3 linked regions of the Drosophila melanogaster genome follow. The protein of the gene in region 1 interacts with the protein of each later gene in a pairwise test. Each region holds a gene or a part of one and is shown on either strand. Other genes may lie near its edges. The genes, in order: raskol, esn and RtGEF.

What was found.
Region 2: the proteins of raskol (region 1) and esn interact in a two-hybrid assay, tested with the Drosophila melanogaster proteins (one large-scale study listed by BioGRID).
Region 3: the proteins of raskol (region 1) and RtGEF interact in a two-hybrid assay, tested with the Drosophila melanogaster proteins (one large-scale study listed by BioGRID).

What each region holds. Positions count from the first base shown.
Region 1 is NC_004354.4:17,735,361-17,740,528, reverse strand, and holds the start of raskol (raskol), read right to left. Parts: upstream 2,117-5,168; 5' UTR 1,256-2,116; coding exon 1-1,255. UniProt on the Drosophila melanogaster protein: GTPase-activating protein, which acts as a negative regulator for some members of the Ras family. Probably decreases their signaling activity by stimulating their intrinsic GTPase activity, thereby lowering the levels of the GTP-bound active form.
Region 2 is NT_033778.4:7,104,539-7,109,706, reverse strand, and holds the start of esn (espinas), read right to left. Parts: upstream 3,028-5,168; 5' UTR 2,766-3,027; coding exon 1,783-2,765; intron 1-1,782.
Region 3 is NT_033779.5:20,351,363-20,356,530, reverse strand, and holds the start of RtGEF (Rho-type guanine nucleotide exchange factor), read right to left. Parts: upstream 2,565-5,168; 5' UTR 2,464-2,564; intron 1,169-2,463; 5' UTR 1,122-1,168; coding exon 784-1,121; intron 726-783; coding exon 525-725; intron 447-524; coding exon 26-446; intron 1-25.

The sequences.
Region 1 (5,168 bases):
ACTTAAGTAGAAAAAGGTTCTTCGGCGGAAAACTGTGCGTTAGTATCGAGGTGGCCGAACAGCTGTTCTGCAGTTTGTAGGGCGAAGAGCCCGCTATCTGACTGGCCGTACTGCCGCCGAACAGCTGACGCTGTTTCTCCTGCAGCTTTTCCCGCTTCTCCTGCTTCTCCTGATACTTCTCCCGCTTCTTCTCGAGCTCATCCAGTGCGGCTGCCTCGCGTAAAACAACTGAGGGCGATAGATTTTGCGGCAGGGTCTTCGATTTTGCACGAAGCGTAATCAACGTCGTCGTCGTTGTCGTAGTGGTCGTATTGCTGGTACTACCATTACTATTACCATTGATATTATTATTATTGGGCGTCGTATTTGTTGTGGCCAAACCACGCTCCACCGATGGCAGCGGTACGGCTAGTATATTGGTTCGCGATCGCGATTTCATTAGCTTTATGGGCGTCGAGGTGTTCGTCTGCATGCGACTTATTTCTGAGTCATCATCGTAGTCGTTAGACTCATGAGCGGCGGATAGTGCCTGCTGTTTGGGCGGCGGGGGCGTGGCCAGGACAATGTCGTTCTCCTCATTGAAATGAGTCCTGGGCGCAGCCGCATTTGGTATGTTCTGGCCGTTTGGCATTGATGGCATGGATGGCATGCTGCTACCATTACTACCCAACGAGGACTGCTCGTTATCGCTGCCATTCAAACTGATGACGTTCAGTACGATGCCATATCGTTTCAGTTTCGATGGGGATGCGGTGGTGGAATTATTATTACCGCTGGGCAGGGTCTTGAGCAGCTGTTCGCGATGACGTGCCTCCGTGGAGTTCTCCTCATCATCATCGGTATCGGAGTATTGGGCCGTATTTTCGCTGCCACTGATGCTCCAATTGAAGCCGCAAGGTGGCGACATTTTCGATGGAGTTTTCCGCTCGAAGAGAGCACTAACCTTGGCCACGCCGCTTTTCACCGAACTCGATTTGCGCAGACTATAGCTTTTCGATGATTTTGTTTCGGAATTCGTTAGGGAATTGCTATTGCTACTTAGGCTCGTATTGCTCGAGGACTTTTGGACCAGATGATCTGCGGGCGTATCCTTTTTGGTCTCCTCTTCGTCTTCTATTACCAATGGTACATAGAATGTGGAGCGTCGTCTTTGGGATTTCTCCTCCGGCGTCGCTATTATCGGGCTTTCACTGTTTCCTGTGTCTGCTGTATTTCCCACTGGTGCTGTTGTTGTGCTGCTAGCGGCTTGCAACATTTTGTTATTTTTCGCTCAGTGTAGTTTCGAGAGCATGGCACACACACACACATTCGCAGAGTGAGAGAGGTGGAGAAAGAGACAGAGAGAGGGAGCACACGCAGGTATATTTTGTATTTGTGTTTGTTGACGCTGCTGCTGCTGCTGCTGCTGCTGCTTCTTCTTCTAGTACTTCTACTTCTTTCTCTTTTTTGCTGATGCTTCTGTTTTTACTTCTTGAATTTTATTTACTTCCCCTCTCGCTTCGCCTTTGAGTTATTTTTGTTGCTGTTCTTGCAGTGTGCGTTTGTCGCTTGGCTTATAAAAATTATGCGCTCAACTGCATTTCCGCGTTTTTTCTCTTTCTCTTCGCGCTTTGTTTTTGCTGTTATTTTATCGCCTTTTCGCATCACATTGTCGCTTGGTTAAGTTTTTCATTATTTATCTTTACTTTTTGTACTACTCTTGGTTTAACGTTGTTGTTGTTGGTTAATTTTGGTTTCCAGTTGCAGCATACACACACACACACAAACGCAGCGCAGAGAGACTGCACTAATACACACGCACACGCATCTTTTTTCTCCTTCGTGTGCAGGAATGCGTTTTCGGTTGTTGTTGTTGTTGTTGTTGGACTTAGGGGATAAAACACTTTAACAAAAACAGCACTAGCTTTAACAATTATTAAAAAAAATTAGAGATGTAGCTCAGCAACAAGGCAAAGGAGGTATTATTTTTAATGCACGCAGAATATAATCAAGTGCAATAACATAGTAAAAACCGACGCACGCGAGAGCGAAACTAAAACAATAATAAACGGGCGATTTAAACAACCGCCGTCGCCGCTCCGTTCCGTCCACTCCACCCGAACTCTAAAATCGATCTGATCTAGCGATGTACAAAACATTTGCGCAGCGCGCAGCGATGTTATGGCTGCGGCGATACTTTTCGGCGTTTTTGTCGCTATCGATTAATCGATTTTCAAGCAATGATCGTGTTCTACGTGGCAGTAATCCCTTTTCACAATTGTGCTCTAATTGAACGCACGGTTCTTTGTGTTTTTAATGTCAATATACAACGTTTTTCACACAGTCGCTGATCTCGAATGCGAAAGACAAAAAAAACAGCAGTCGACGATCGTCAGTGCTGCCCATCGAGGGTGCTGCCCATGCGCAGAGAGCACCAACGAGAGAGGGCTACAACAACGCCACAATAGCGGTAAAAATGATAGCTACCGCGGCGAAAAAGAACATAAGCCTTTTTCAAAATACCAAAATTTCAATAAGAATGTGTCCTAAATTTAAAATGTAGAATGTATCTGATATCTTATTTTTTTGATATATCTTATATTTTTTTTATATATCTTATATCTTATTCTTTAATTTTCTACATTTTTCTAATATATATTATAATATATTTCTGAAATAACAAAAAGTATTTTATTGAACTCCTATTAGTTGTTGTTATTGCCCATATGTATGATACGACATCTATGTATCTACGCTTTGAAGCACACTAAGTAATCCTACTTTCCTACCTCAACTGTGGGTGTCTATGAATGTGTGTTAGGTGCTAGTTGGGCAGTCGGGCAAGGCATAATACAAATTAAGGGAACACCAACCGAACCCCAACCCCCCCGTACAACCCAACCATTCCAAGCGTCGTAACGCTTGGTTCGCTCTTTACCTCTATTTTATTTTATTATTGTGTTTTTTTTTTTCATTCTTCCCGTTTTTTGTTCACTGCGGAAGTGCGTGACTATGGGGTTTTATGTGACACGTTCACCTCCTTCGCCGCAACGAAAAACGGAAGACTTGTTTACGAGCGGCTCGTAAGTAACCATTTCCATTCGCATTTCCATGGGCATTACATTAGCATAGGGGCACAATGAACTGTTGTGAGAGGGAGTTTTCTGCTTTACTTATCAACTTTCAACCCCTGGCCGAGCCGATCGTTATATAAGCCACGTCCTGCCTCTCGAAATTCCGTTACATTTATAGGGAAAGGAATTACCCTAAATTCAATAACAACATGCATTTGAGCAGTTATGCAAATAAACATGGTTAATCCATGAAATAGTGCATACTTTTTGGCTCGTGTAGAATACAGCCACTTCGTGTAGATATGTACGTGTAGAATTCGAAGCTTTACCGTAAAATCTACTGCGTGGATCATCTTAAAACGCCTCGATTTATGCAGGGAGTTAATATTATAAAGTTCTTTTGCGAGTGGCGTATGAATGACAAGTATCTTTCTTTTAAATAATCATATACTAAAGTTCCTGAAGCTACCGAAAGTAAACCAAAGTCTTTTGAAAATGCTGATTTTAGCAGAAGGAATTAACTTATGCGGCGGTCTGATTCAATATTTGTTGTTTGTTCAAAAAAAACTAAAAGGTGTTAATAACTAACCCAGTTGCATGGTATTTATAAATATTTATAAAGCGTTTTAAGACTGATTGCCTTTAAGTGGCACATAATCATTTGGTTTCGATTTTGCAAGACAGGAAAGTACAATTTGTATTGGTAAGAAAGAAATAGTTAACGTGAAATTTGCATTACCATTCCAGCTTGCATATTTACATATAGAATGAGTAATTTTACTATTTGAGAATCCCGAAAACAAGGATATATAATTCTCACCATGAGCTTCTGATATTAAATGCAAGTTTTAAGAACCCCCAGGCATCCAAATGCATAGGGTTAAATATCGCCCATGAATGTGATAATGTCCAGCAAGTGCTGATAAGCTCAGAGCAGATCGGATTGCGCTGAGCCGGCAAAAGTATTCGCATTTGTGGGTTTCTAGGTCTCTATATGGCAGTCCAGTGCAAAAGCGTTCTAAGCGCCACCACATGAAAATCGGGGAATCAGAAACAGAAACAGACACAATGTCACGACATTGAGATACGGATAATGCATGAGTAAGTTGCCGCCATAGTCACACACTCACTCACTCACTCACTCACTCAATCATTTACCACACTGAAAGGGAATCAATCGAACAATCGGGCACTTTGTGTTGTTACCTTCATTCAGCGATGTATCGTTTAACGCCGTATCGAAATGTATGCGAGGCAGTGTCTTCGACTTGTACTCACCTGTAAGTAGTGGAAAAGATGTTGAAATGGATTAGTTGTGTTAAATGCAAATGCCAGATGTCTAAATACTAGATGTTTTGTGTTTTCTGCTTGGTGTTTTGTTTTGCAAAACTCGACCCATTTACATGGCCTGACCTTTGAGCTAGTGCTGTAAAATTCACTTCAATTAATGCAAAATATGAAATACAGATACAGATACAGATACAATTGCTAGACATCGCAAGTGGTCGCGGCGATGACAATGTGGGGCACGCTCGTAAATTGAGCAATTGTTGTAGGTGACCCAGGAGTCTGTGTATGCACGTATGTATGTACGTATGTGTCTGGGATCTCTGGTCTTTATAAAGAGCCCCAGGCCCCTTGGGTTCCCAGACGAAGGCATTATTATTGTGATTATGATTGTGCCGTTGACACTTTTTCCCAACCAAACACTGCATTATCTACTTTGCGCGGGTCATCAGTCGTAACTGTGCAACTGTAAATTATGCCGCCACACAATTGACTTCAAAGCGGAATGGCCGAACTGACGAACTGCCCAACTGGCCGACCAATCCAGTGATGATTGTGAATTCTCATTCTCGATGATGTCACATCCGTCTTCCATCCAACCATCCATCCATTCATCCTCTTGGGCAGTAATGTGATGACAGATACAACGAATCTGAAGATTCACAGCTGGGTTGACAGATGAATCATTTCAATTTCTGACTGAGCTTAGTCTTTACACACTTACAGCTCAACTTTAGTATATATCCTAGCGCATACATATAAAATAATGTTAGTTACTTGAAAATTTGTCTGAAAATGTGTGCCATTCCATACTGCAACATATGTTGG
Region 2 (5,168 bases), on another chromosome or scaffold:
CGCTTCTGGCCAACTTCAATTAGCCAGGCTGGCAAAAGAGGGCCGCCGGCGGTCCCAACTTATTTACTTTATTGTTGAGATTCCTATGCAAAGTGTTCGGCCGGCCAGGCGCTTAATTACGCTTTAAGTAGCCGCCAGTCAATATTGGGTTTGGTTTATTTAAACTGCGAATGTAATAGCCCCGCTGATTGCGAATGGCTCGAGAGGATGTGCATATGGATGTGGAACTGGAGGTGGAACTGGAGGTGGATGTGCGTCTCAAATTACAAAGTTCTGTTTAAGGGAAATTGATGGCGCACTCCTTCCACCAATATTTTATGGCTTCACCCAAAACAAAATCTAATTAACAGTTTGCGTAGATTTATGAACAGAAGTCCATGCAAATGAAGTCTGCATGCGGAATGCAGAGAATACAAAAGATGGAAGAGATGGCAGAAATGGCAAAGATGCCGAGGACCTGAAAGATCTGAAAGATCTGAAAGATACAGAATACCTTTTCGATGAAGGGCACTCAGTCAGGCGGCAAAAAGAACTCAATTTATGAAGTCGTCGGATGGAATTTATGAGGCTGCAGGATGCAAACACAAGGTGACGGGCGATCGGAGGAGAAGGACCTCGTGAGGATGGGCTCAGTGGACCCGAAGTTCTGCCAGCCTCGTTTAACCGCTGCTGTTGCCACTTAGCTGCATGCAATTCATTTTGCAGTTAACAAAACTCGACAGCGAGGCGAAGGAAGGAGCACGTGCTGGCCAGAAAGTTGATAAATAACTTTCCGGTGCCAGTTTTGCAAATAGTCGGGCATTAATAACACCTTCTTAGCGAGCCCACAAAGTCGCCTCCAGCTGACAGAGCCTCTTATGGCGGATTATTTGTGCCATTATTCGAGGGTGACCTGTAGGATTTGTACTCTCAGCGCAATTGAAACTGATACGCGTAGCCAACAACGGCTGTTGATCAGGTGAAAATGATAAACTCCGCTCTATTTATGAGCCGCCAAAGAGGTATGCCTTATCGTTCTGGATTCCTTAAGAAGTTCTGAAGAAATTAATTTATCCTAAACAATATGAAATCTAATAAGGGAAAGAAATGGCGATGGTGACAAAAATGACAACAGAAAAAAAGATCACGGGATTAATTCCATATTAACATTGCAAACTTCAAATGGGCTATAAACCCAAGGGCCAAAAACAACAATCGTGTCCATTGGTTTATTACCTTTTAAACAATTGCAATTGTAGTCGGTAAATTCGGTAAATTGTTTGGCCTTCGTACTTCTCTTTCAATAGTTGTAAAAACAACATTGGTAGAAAGTTGCAGACCCACATTTTCAACGGCAGCTAAAAGGTATTAAATTACCAAACACGAAAGCGGCCATTTTCAATATAACGAGTATTAACTCAACGTAAGTCGGAAATCTATAAAGCTGTCAGTGTGCCAGCCCATTTTAATGCGATCTGCCTTGCCTATAACTTCGAATAGCCAGTTTAATTTGAAGAACCATAAAGTATGATTCCAGTGGTTAGGAATAGAATCCTCCAGAACCCAACTGCTCCTCAACTCGGAGCACGGAGCACGGCTCATATGAAGCTATTAAGCAGCCATCAAATTGGGCCGTAAACTCTCTACTGCGACGCCCGTTTTATAGTCACTTAAATTGGGAAATGCAAAGCTCATCAAATGGATTTCAAATTAGTTGGCCACATTCCCGCCGACAACTCCGCTTTCCCTCGCCCACTTATCGCCGAGAGTTATGGCCATTAGAGATAGCCGGTGGAAACTCACATTTTGGGTGCTGTGGCTGCCGGCGGTGGCGGCCTCTTTGAGTGGCCATCAAATCTGGCCAATTGTTCTTCAATATCGCTGAGCTGGATATCGTCGGCAATGGCCTGGTTGAAGTAGCAGTTGGCCTTCCTCCTGCTCTTGTCCACCTCGAGGAGCTGCTCCGTATCCTTGGGATTTAGCCAAACGGCGTTCCTGTTGCGGCAGCGGTTCAGGTTCCTCAGATCGTCATATCGGAGGATCTGCTGCCCCTGGATCCTTGCTATCTGGGAGGGCGTTAAGCTGCCGGTCAGCATGGCCACCTCCACGTCATCGTCGGTCTCCCCGTTGCAGGAGATTCCCGAGGAGTGGAACTGATCCTCGCTGCTCAGCTTCCTCTGCACGCAGCCGGAGGATTGGGCCACGGCCATGGCCAAAGTGGGTGCAGGGGATTCGTTGGGCAGCTCCAGCGCTATTTCGTAGGGTGCTAGGGTGATCGTGGTGGCCTTTGGCTTGGTCTTGGTTCGCACTGCCGACTTGATGATGCACTTCGCAGGGGCGTTGCCCCGATGTTTGGAGCACGTGGACTTGCTACTCTGCTTCCTGGGCGTCAGTTTGGTCACCGTCGATAGCCGGGACTGCTGTCCAGCTCCTATCTGCGGCATTTTCGGCGGCTGAACCTGCTCCTCCAGCCGCTCCCGGCTGGCCAGGCGCTCCCTTTCCGCGGACACAGCCCGTCGGCGACTCCGCCGTATGCTGGGCATGTTCCGGGGGAACAGCTTGCCCGCCTCCGCCTGGGAGCTCTTGGAGAGACTGTCGCAGCTCCGGTGGCGGGTGGGACTGCCGCTGCTGGCGGTGGTGGTGGAGCTGTCGCTAATCGTGGTGGCCGTGTTGGCCAGCACTGAGGAGCACTCGCTCAGGTTGACGATGTCCCGGTAGTTCCTCGACTGATCCTGCTTGCCCACCTGCGGCAGCCGGATCTTCCACCAGCGCTTCTTCGAGAGCATCGCGGTGAGTGGAACGCACGTCAATCACGGGTCGCGGGCCAATCAATCAATTGACACATTAACGAACGGGGAACACCTTAAGCAGTTGGCAGGTATGCGGCGGCCTGCAATTACCGTCGCCAGCAATTAACGGGCGATCCGCTTGCTCCAATTACGTGCACTCGCGATCGGATTGATACGTATCGGCTGGGATTCTATCTGAATTCCTGGTTCGCGAAAGAACAGCACTCGCACCGCTCGCTTTGGGGCTGCTCAAACAACTGAAGATTGTAGAAAGTAGCTGTTGGCCGAAAGGCGGCTTTTGGCCAGGTTGGTGCAGGTCAAACTCACCACCAAGACGATCCAGCCAACTCACCACAGCTCTCTTTCTCTCATCTATATATCTCTCGCTCGCTCTTGTGGCCCAAGCAAGTGCAGGTAAAACAGGTGGCACAGGTGAGTCGAGTGGCTTTCGGTTGAGTGCTTCGGATTCGAGCCAGAATGTGGTGGCGTTTATTAGCCAGCTATTGAAGAGGCAGATTCTGGTAGCTGCAACTGGTTGATGCAGCTGTCTTCGGGCCATTTGACACATTTCAGGCCGTTTAGCGATTGACCCATTTCAATCACGGCCAACAAGGGAAGACCACGGCCAGCGTCCCTTGGGCGTTGTGTTACCACATTAGCAGCGCACTCATAGGTGGTCATTAGACTGCGGGCTTGGTGAAAATGTGGTAATCGGGTAAGGCCCCTCTCATGAAATCCATCCGTTTGCCCCGGAATGGAAATGAAGACGGGCGGATGGAACGTGGACGAGGGAACAAACCAATCATTGGAAATTAGGGTTTGTGGCTTCCCTATGCTGCACGGGACTCTCTTCTTGTGGCAGCACACGGACGGTAATGGAGTCGACACCGATTTCACATATTATTCAATTAACACGCAGCTACTGATTCATTGCAATTGAGGCTGAGCTAGAATTTACTAGCCAGTGCAATTATGTCCTGTTGATATTTGGGATAAGTATTCTTCAAAATGGTTTTTAGTTTAAAGTTATGTGGTGATTTTGATAATCGACTTAATAGATCAAAGACCAGTTTCACTTCCGAGGCATTCCACTAACTATCTCGGATATAAAAATGCTATGAAAATTATTTGCACAATATAAAATGTGTCTTTCGTTGAATTATTTTGAGTCGCTATATAAAGTGTCTCTCTCGATGAATTAATTAGAGCCGCTAACTTCTCACACTTTGCAATTATACTTTCTTCTCTGGCTACTAACAACCAGAAATAATTTAAAATTAGTGACCTTTACTACAAGCTAAAGGATTCAATTGAATTTTTAACTTACCTTCAAAACTCTCCCAAACGAATTGCCATTGCGAAGTTTGCGTTTTAACAAATTGTTTCACCAACTGCAATGAAAGACGAAAGTAAATAAATTAATTTCCCCATTTAACGTTAAATATTTGCACTCTCTTTCGACACTCAAAGAGTGATGGGCGAAATGGCCCAACTAATTGAGGACCAGGCCAGAAGAGAACAGCCAACATGAAGCGGCTGAAGGCAAACGAAATAAGCAAGTGACTGCCAAAAGTATTTTAATTGCCCGGAGTTTTCCGAAAAGAGGGGCGTCAAAACTTTATTTGACAGTTGGAACAACTGAACAATTCATGAAACAATTTTGATTAAAACCGAGACACACGGTCTCCAACTGGAGAAATGTCAGCGAAAGCAGTTGTCAGATGCCAGCAGCAGGTGAAAATTGGTGCACTGAGAACATTAGATGCTCAAGGTGATTGTATTATCATTATCGTTAGTAATCAATCATTGGTTGTATGGTCGATAGACAATGCCTTTAAGCTCCATTCAACTATAAAACTAACTTCTGAATTAGATTCACTACATTTCCCGACCACATCTTAAAGAAGGATGTTCTGCTTGATTTAAATGACAATATGAATACTCCTGACTGAATACTGTAAAGAAGTGAAAAGTGGGGATAATTTTTCCAAGTGTAGCCCTTTTCCCACTTTGGCCATGGCCAACAGGTTAAAGTCAACGTCATTGCAGCAGGAGCGCAAAAAACAACAAGCCCGAAAGTGACGCTAGTAAAACAACGACGATAATATCCTGCAGAGGTCGTAAAAGTTGAGATTTGAACGTGCAACGTACACGTGTAAGTCAAAAGTTGCCCCGGGCGGTGGGCGGTGGGCGATGGTCGGAGGAGGGGCGTGGCTGTTTGGCGCAGCTGCCGCCACTACGCGACACAAGATGGCGCTGCGTGGCACTAAAAAGTATTAAAACAATTTACACTTTGTAAAAAAGGCAGCAACGGGGCAATAACACCGACTGTTGTGCGGCTTGTCGCACGTGTCGCGTGGGGTGGGGGGTGTGTAGCTGTGGAGGGGTGGCTGTGTAGTG
Region 3 (5,168 bases), on another chromosome or scaffold:
GCCATGTTGTGCTTGTGTTTCCCACCTCATAGATGAATGCACTCATCCGCTGACTAACGCTAAGGAATAGCAATGTTTGAGGGAAGAGCACAAAGTATCGGTCGCGATGATCAGCTCCAACTGCAACGCTGCCCATGTGGATGATGTCCCCGAGGGTGCTCAGCTCTTGGCCCTGCCATCCACGCACTGGCCCCGTGAGCACTTGCAGCTCCAGCTCCTTTTGGCGACGGGTGGCCGAGCAGGTGGCAGCTATGTCTTTGTACACGGCAACACTCCGCTGGGTGTCGCCGCGATCCGGATGACTGCTCTCCATATGCCGCTCCAGCTCCTGCAGCATGGCCGAGTATTTGTCCAGTCGCCGGAAGGGCTTTGATAGACCCGTCGTGAGCACAAGTAATCCAGGAGTGGCTGCGCCCTGTCGTTCCATATACTTTTCCAGCTCGTCCCTTTTGGAATAGAAAAAAATTTATATTTATTAACAATTGAACACCACAATATATGTATATAAAGCGAGGAGCACATACTTGTACTTATCCAGTATGACAATGGCCTTTGGATGGGCAGCGCAGTACGCCTGGTGCACCTTCTTCATCAAGGGGGCGCTGGTGAGAAATAGTTTTCCCACTCGATCGTTGCACTCCTCGATCTGGATAAGCAAATCCTCGTGCGTACGCACAATCTCTACAAAGTTACACATCAGCTGGGCGTACTCATCCTGACTGAGTCTGTAGAAGAAGCCCTTTTAGATTATATTCAAATTATGTCAGAGAATAGAGAACTTACATTTGCGTCTGTTGCATGGGCTCCAAGAAATTCTCGAGCAGACCCTGCAGCTCGGCCACATGGGCGCGCTCCGAGTCAAGCAGATCCTTGAGCACCACAGACCGATACTCCTGGATCTCCTCCGGCGGCCTTATGGTCTCCGTTAGAGGCAGCTGCACCTTGCACTCATTCACATAGTTGCTGGGAAACCAGCCAGTCTTATCGTTCAGCGTTCCCTCCCACCAGCCACCATCCTCGCGCTGGGTAACCGTGATGACATCGCCCTTCTGGAAGCACAGCTCGTCGTTATTGCTGCCCATGAAGGAGTACTCCGCCTGCACCACCAGTGGCTGATCCATTATCGGATTGTTCAGGGCTGATCCGAGTGCGCACTAGATTGATTCAACTGAAACGAGGCGATGGGTATTGAACTTGAAACATCAGCCAGGCAATTTGCTCAATGAAAAAGCATATGTGAGCATATCGCTCGTTATATACAGCACCTACGCATTATTGCAGCGATGAGCTACATCATCGTCGATCGCTCGGCATTCCTCAGCCTCTTGGAATTAGCCGAGCAATAATTATGGCCCCAAAGAAGAAAACATTTTGAAAACATCTGTCGAGAAACGCGTGCGCAAGTTTCTTGACACTTTTCCGGCGACTCCCCTCCGGCTTTTCTTTCCTAGTTTACTGCAAGTGTCTGGAAAACTCGTGCGCTACACGATGGCCAAGGTCACACAAGCTGCGAGGATCCATTAAAAAATTGGGTAAAAATCACTCGCGCGTATTGTGAAAGAAAAACTTTTCGGGCCATAAAAACAATTTGAATAGCCGGACAGGACAGGCCAACATATAAATCATAAACAACGGCCACGTCGCGTCTAAAAATATTTACGACCTTTTTTATTTGGTTTGTTCGAACAACTCTTTAAGAGATCAACATTTCATTCAATCGTTAAACACTTTCGTTGACGGAAATGGGATTGGCACATTGGATTCTAAAGGCAAGTGCACTCTATACATCAGATATCTATAGAAAGAAGTAAAATCGCAATATTTTCGAATGCCTCGAAAATTATATTACGACATTGTTACTCACAAAAACCCCCAATATTCCAAAGCTTAATTGAAATGGTCTCTTGTATGAGTGGCACTAGGGGGCTAGTTAGTGGATGTCATTATTTTTAAAGTCGTTTATAAAAGTCTTTAGCCTAGTCTATTCGTTGGTACTATTTAAAATTGGCAGCGCGACGTGTGCTTTTATTAATATAGGAATTCCTATGTTTATGCAAAAATTCAATTCTGGACTGAAAATGTTAAAAAGTGATATATTTTCTAAAAATAGATGCATCACATTTGTTTGCTATTGCCGCAATGAGTAAACGCAAAAATATGAACAACTTGGTTTATTTTGCCCAAATAGTTTTCTAGAATACTAAAAATAAAAAACAGACGAAAGTGTACATATTGGCGGATCGCAAGTTCTATATGCCAAACTGGAACGTGTAGTTTTTCACGAATTATTACCGCTCTCATGAGATTGTCAAGATTTATAGGCTGATGAGAATATTTCCCTAAGGCAAGGTCACGTTTTGGTTGCACAAACGCATGAAAATTTCTTAAAATGTCACTTTTTCGCCATCTAGGCACTCGAATACATATACCCGCTACTCTTTTGTATAGATGGGTGATATATACTTTTTCGACAATAAATTGTGGTACGACAATTTGACGTTTTTCGCCGTTTTTCTGCTCTCAGACGATGCACCGCACGCGTTCATTGCTTCAGCGAAACTGCCGAGAAAAGCGGAAAATACCGAAAAGCTGGCGACATATGGCAGACGAATTTTCCACGGCAACCGAAAGTGCCACTCTCGCAGTCATTTTCTGAGAGTCTCGTCGGATCGCAGGAGATTCGAATATATTTTCACATGTACGCGAGCGTTTTCGACCGGACACATCGCATATTTTCATGAAAAATCAACAGAGATGTGACAAAAAATATGAATCCGGGGACAACCTTTTCATCTGCGTTTCCAAAATGAGGATCTTAATTGTATTTCATTGAGAAATAAGCGACACTCGCTGTGCTTTTGTATTGTCTATTCAAAAAAACCACATAAAAATATTTGTGCCAAAATATATGTGGGTTGCCTATTGGATGTGAGATCTTCCATGTTTGTGGATTCAGTCATCAATCGAAAACTTCTTCATATTCAAGCATTTTAGAATTATTTCAGAAAAATTCACCTGTTCCGCTCAGTTTCCTGTTGATCATACAATATATGCCCGTGAATCATAGGAAACGTTTATGGAATGTGTAGACTTGTATAATCTAAAATTTAGAATCGTGCGACACACATTGTGGTTTTAATGGGATTATGGCCTCAGGAAATGTTAAATTCGTCATATTTTTAGAATTTAAGATAGAATATAAATCAAATTTAACCCAAAGACTTTCATTCTGAGACAAACAAGGAGGCTGGAACTGTAAACTCTACTGAATAAAGATGTTGAAGCTTATAGACCGACGGAGAATTTTTGAGCTAGAGTGACCAAGAACTAAATATTTTTTCCACAGAATATTCGTATTCAAATCTGCCGAGATCAGAATGTCGGCAAAAAATATGCTTTATAAGTGCAGCGCCAAACCCAAGCCGAATGTATGTCACTTTCCTTCGCTTCGTTTAACCCTGAAATCACTTTAAGTCCATGGCCGGGCACAATCAAATTTCCGTAGGTGGTGGTGCTCCAAACGATGCATCGGAGGTCAGATGAGCAGATGCATAAATGCAGATACCGAGCGGCACACACGCAGATATGTGGGCACATACAAAGATGCATACATACCCCATTGAAGCTCTCGGAACCAAATTTTAATTAATTCATTAAACTTGCACATGGCGCCGCGCGGATCGGCTATGCGGCCCCATATCCAGATACAGATACAGATACAAGTTTCAGATACAGATACACCGGGCCCACGCTCTCTGAGTATAAGAGACAACTCTTTCGGTTATTAACGATCCGTCGCCGAAGGCGAAATTCAAATGAATATCCCTGCCGCTTCCGGAAATGCGCAATTTGGCGAGTAAAACGTCGCATCCATCGGAGGGGAGCACCCCAAATCAAATCACCGAATGTTTATTTTCGTGGGACACTGGGGAACGTAAACAACAAAGACGAGAGATGTAAAAGAAAGGCGAGTGGATTGTTTTGCTTGGCAAAGTCAGCGGCAAAGACAAACAAAGTCAGCCAAAGACAAACCAAATTTATGCAGTTCTGCCTGGTCGGGACCGGATCCGAATCGCTATCCCTACTAGCTCAGCCGAACTGCACTCAATAAGGCCTCTTCAATGTGTCAATACCGAGATTTACAGGCTGCACAGCCGCCACTTGAGATGCATTTCCTCAGATATATGGACGTAATATAGTTTGATTGCGTCGCTCGCCGTATTTATAGATACTTCGTGGCGGAGGAAGTCATCGGTGGCTGTGGGCACACCGAAGAGGTGAGCGAGTGGGAGTTCCAATAGCTTGTGGGGATCCGCTGTTCTCGACACCAACACACCAAGAACGAGGTCAGCAGCGGAAATATGAAGAAACGCGGTTTCCCAGCAGACACGAGTGAAAATCAGGCGCATGATTTGACGGCCAATGTTTGTTTTGGGAAATCACAGGCCCACATACAGATATTGCCAACATGCTTTCATTAAAGCGTAAGAATAACAACCATAGGGCGCAAAGAGCCAAGTGGTTCGACGAGATCTTACCCTAGACTTTTTCACATTCCCCACATAAATATATACAAACAAATATAACTTTTTAAACCATGAAATAATTCAATTTGATTTAAATAATATTTTCTAGGGTAGCTATTTATTTTGCAAACTGCTTTTGACCTGGTGGCCGAAACCAAGATCATGTGAGAGTAAAGAAAAGCATGAATTTGCATTCAGCTTGCCACCACCTTTCATAGGAAATTCTCTTGGCAGCGGTTCAAAATTGTTCGGGTAATGATGCTTGTTGGTTCTGGGAATCCAATGGGGGAGTTTGGGGCCGGGAGGCAGGTGGCATGCGGCAGGCAGCGGCAGGCAGAACGTGCCTCCGTCGTCGTCCGGCAGTGCATTTTACTTTCGCAGCGAGTGCTAGCAAACAAACGCTTTTCGGGAGGAGCTGGAACGGATGCCCCACGAGGAGCCCTGCTATTGACCCAATGGATTATGCAGGCGGACCTCTGAACTCCAGAAACCGGCAACAAATTACTATTGCACGAGCAGCAGCAAGTTGAACAACAGTTGTGCCGAAAGTACAGGAGTCATTACATAAAATGTATTCTTGAGCTTTAAGCTTTAAATGTCCTTTGTTGGGACTAAACGATTGAAACTGTTTTTAACGTAAAT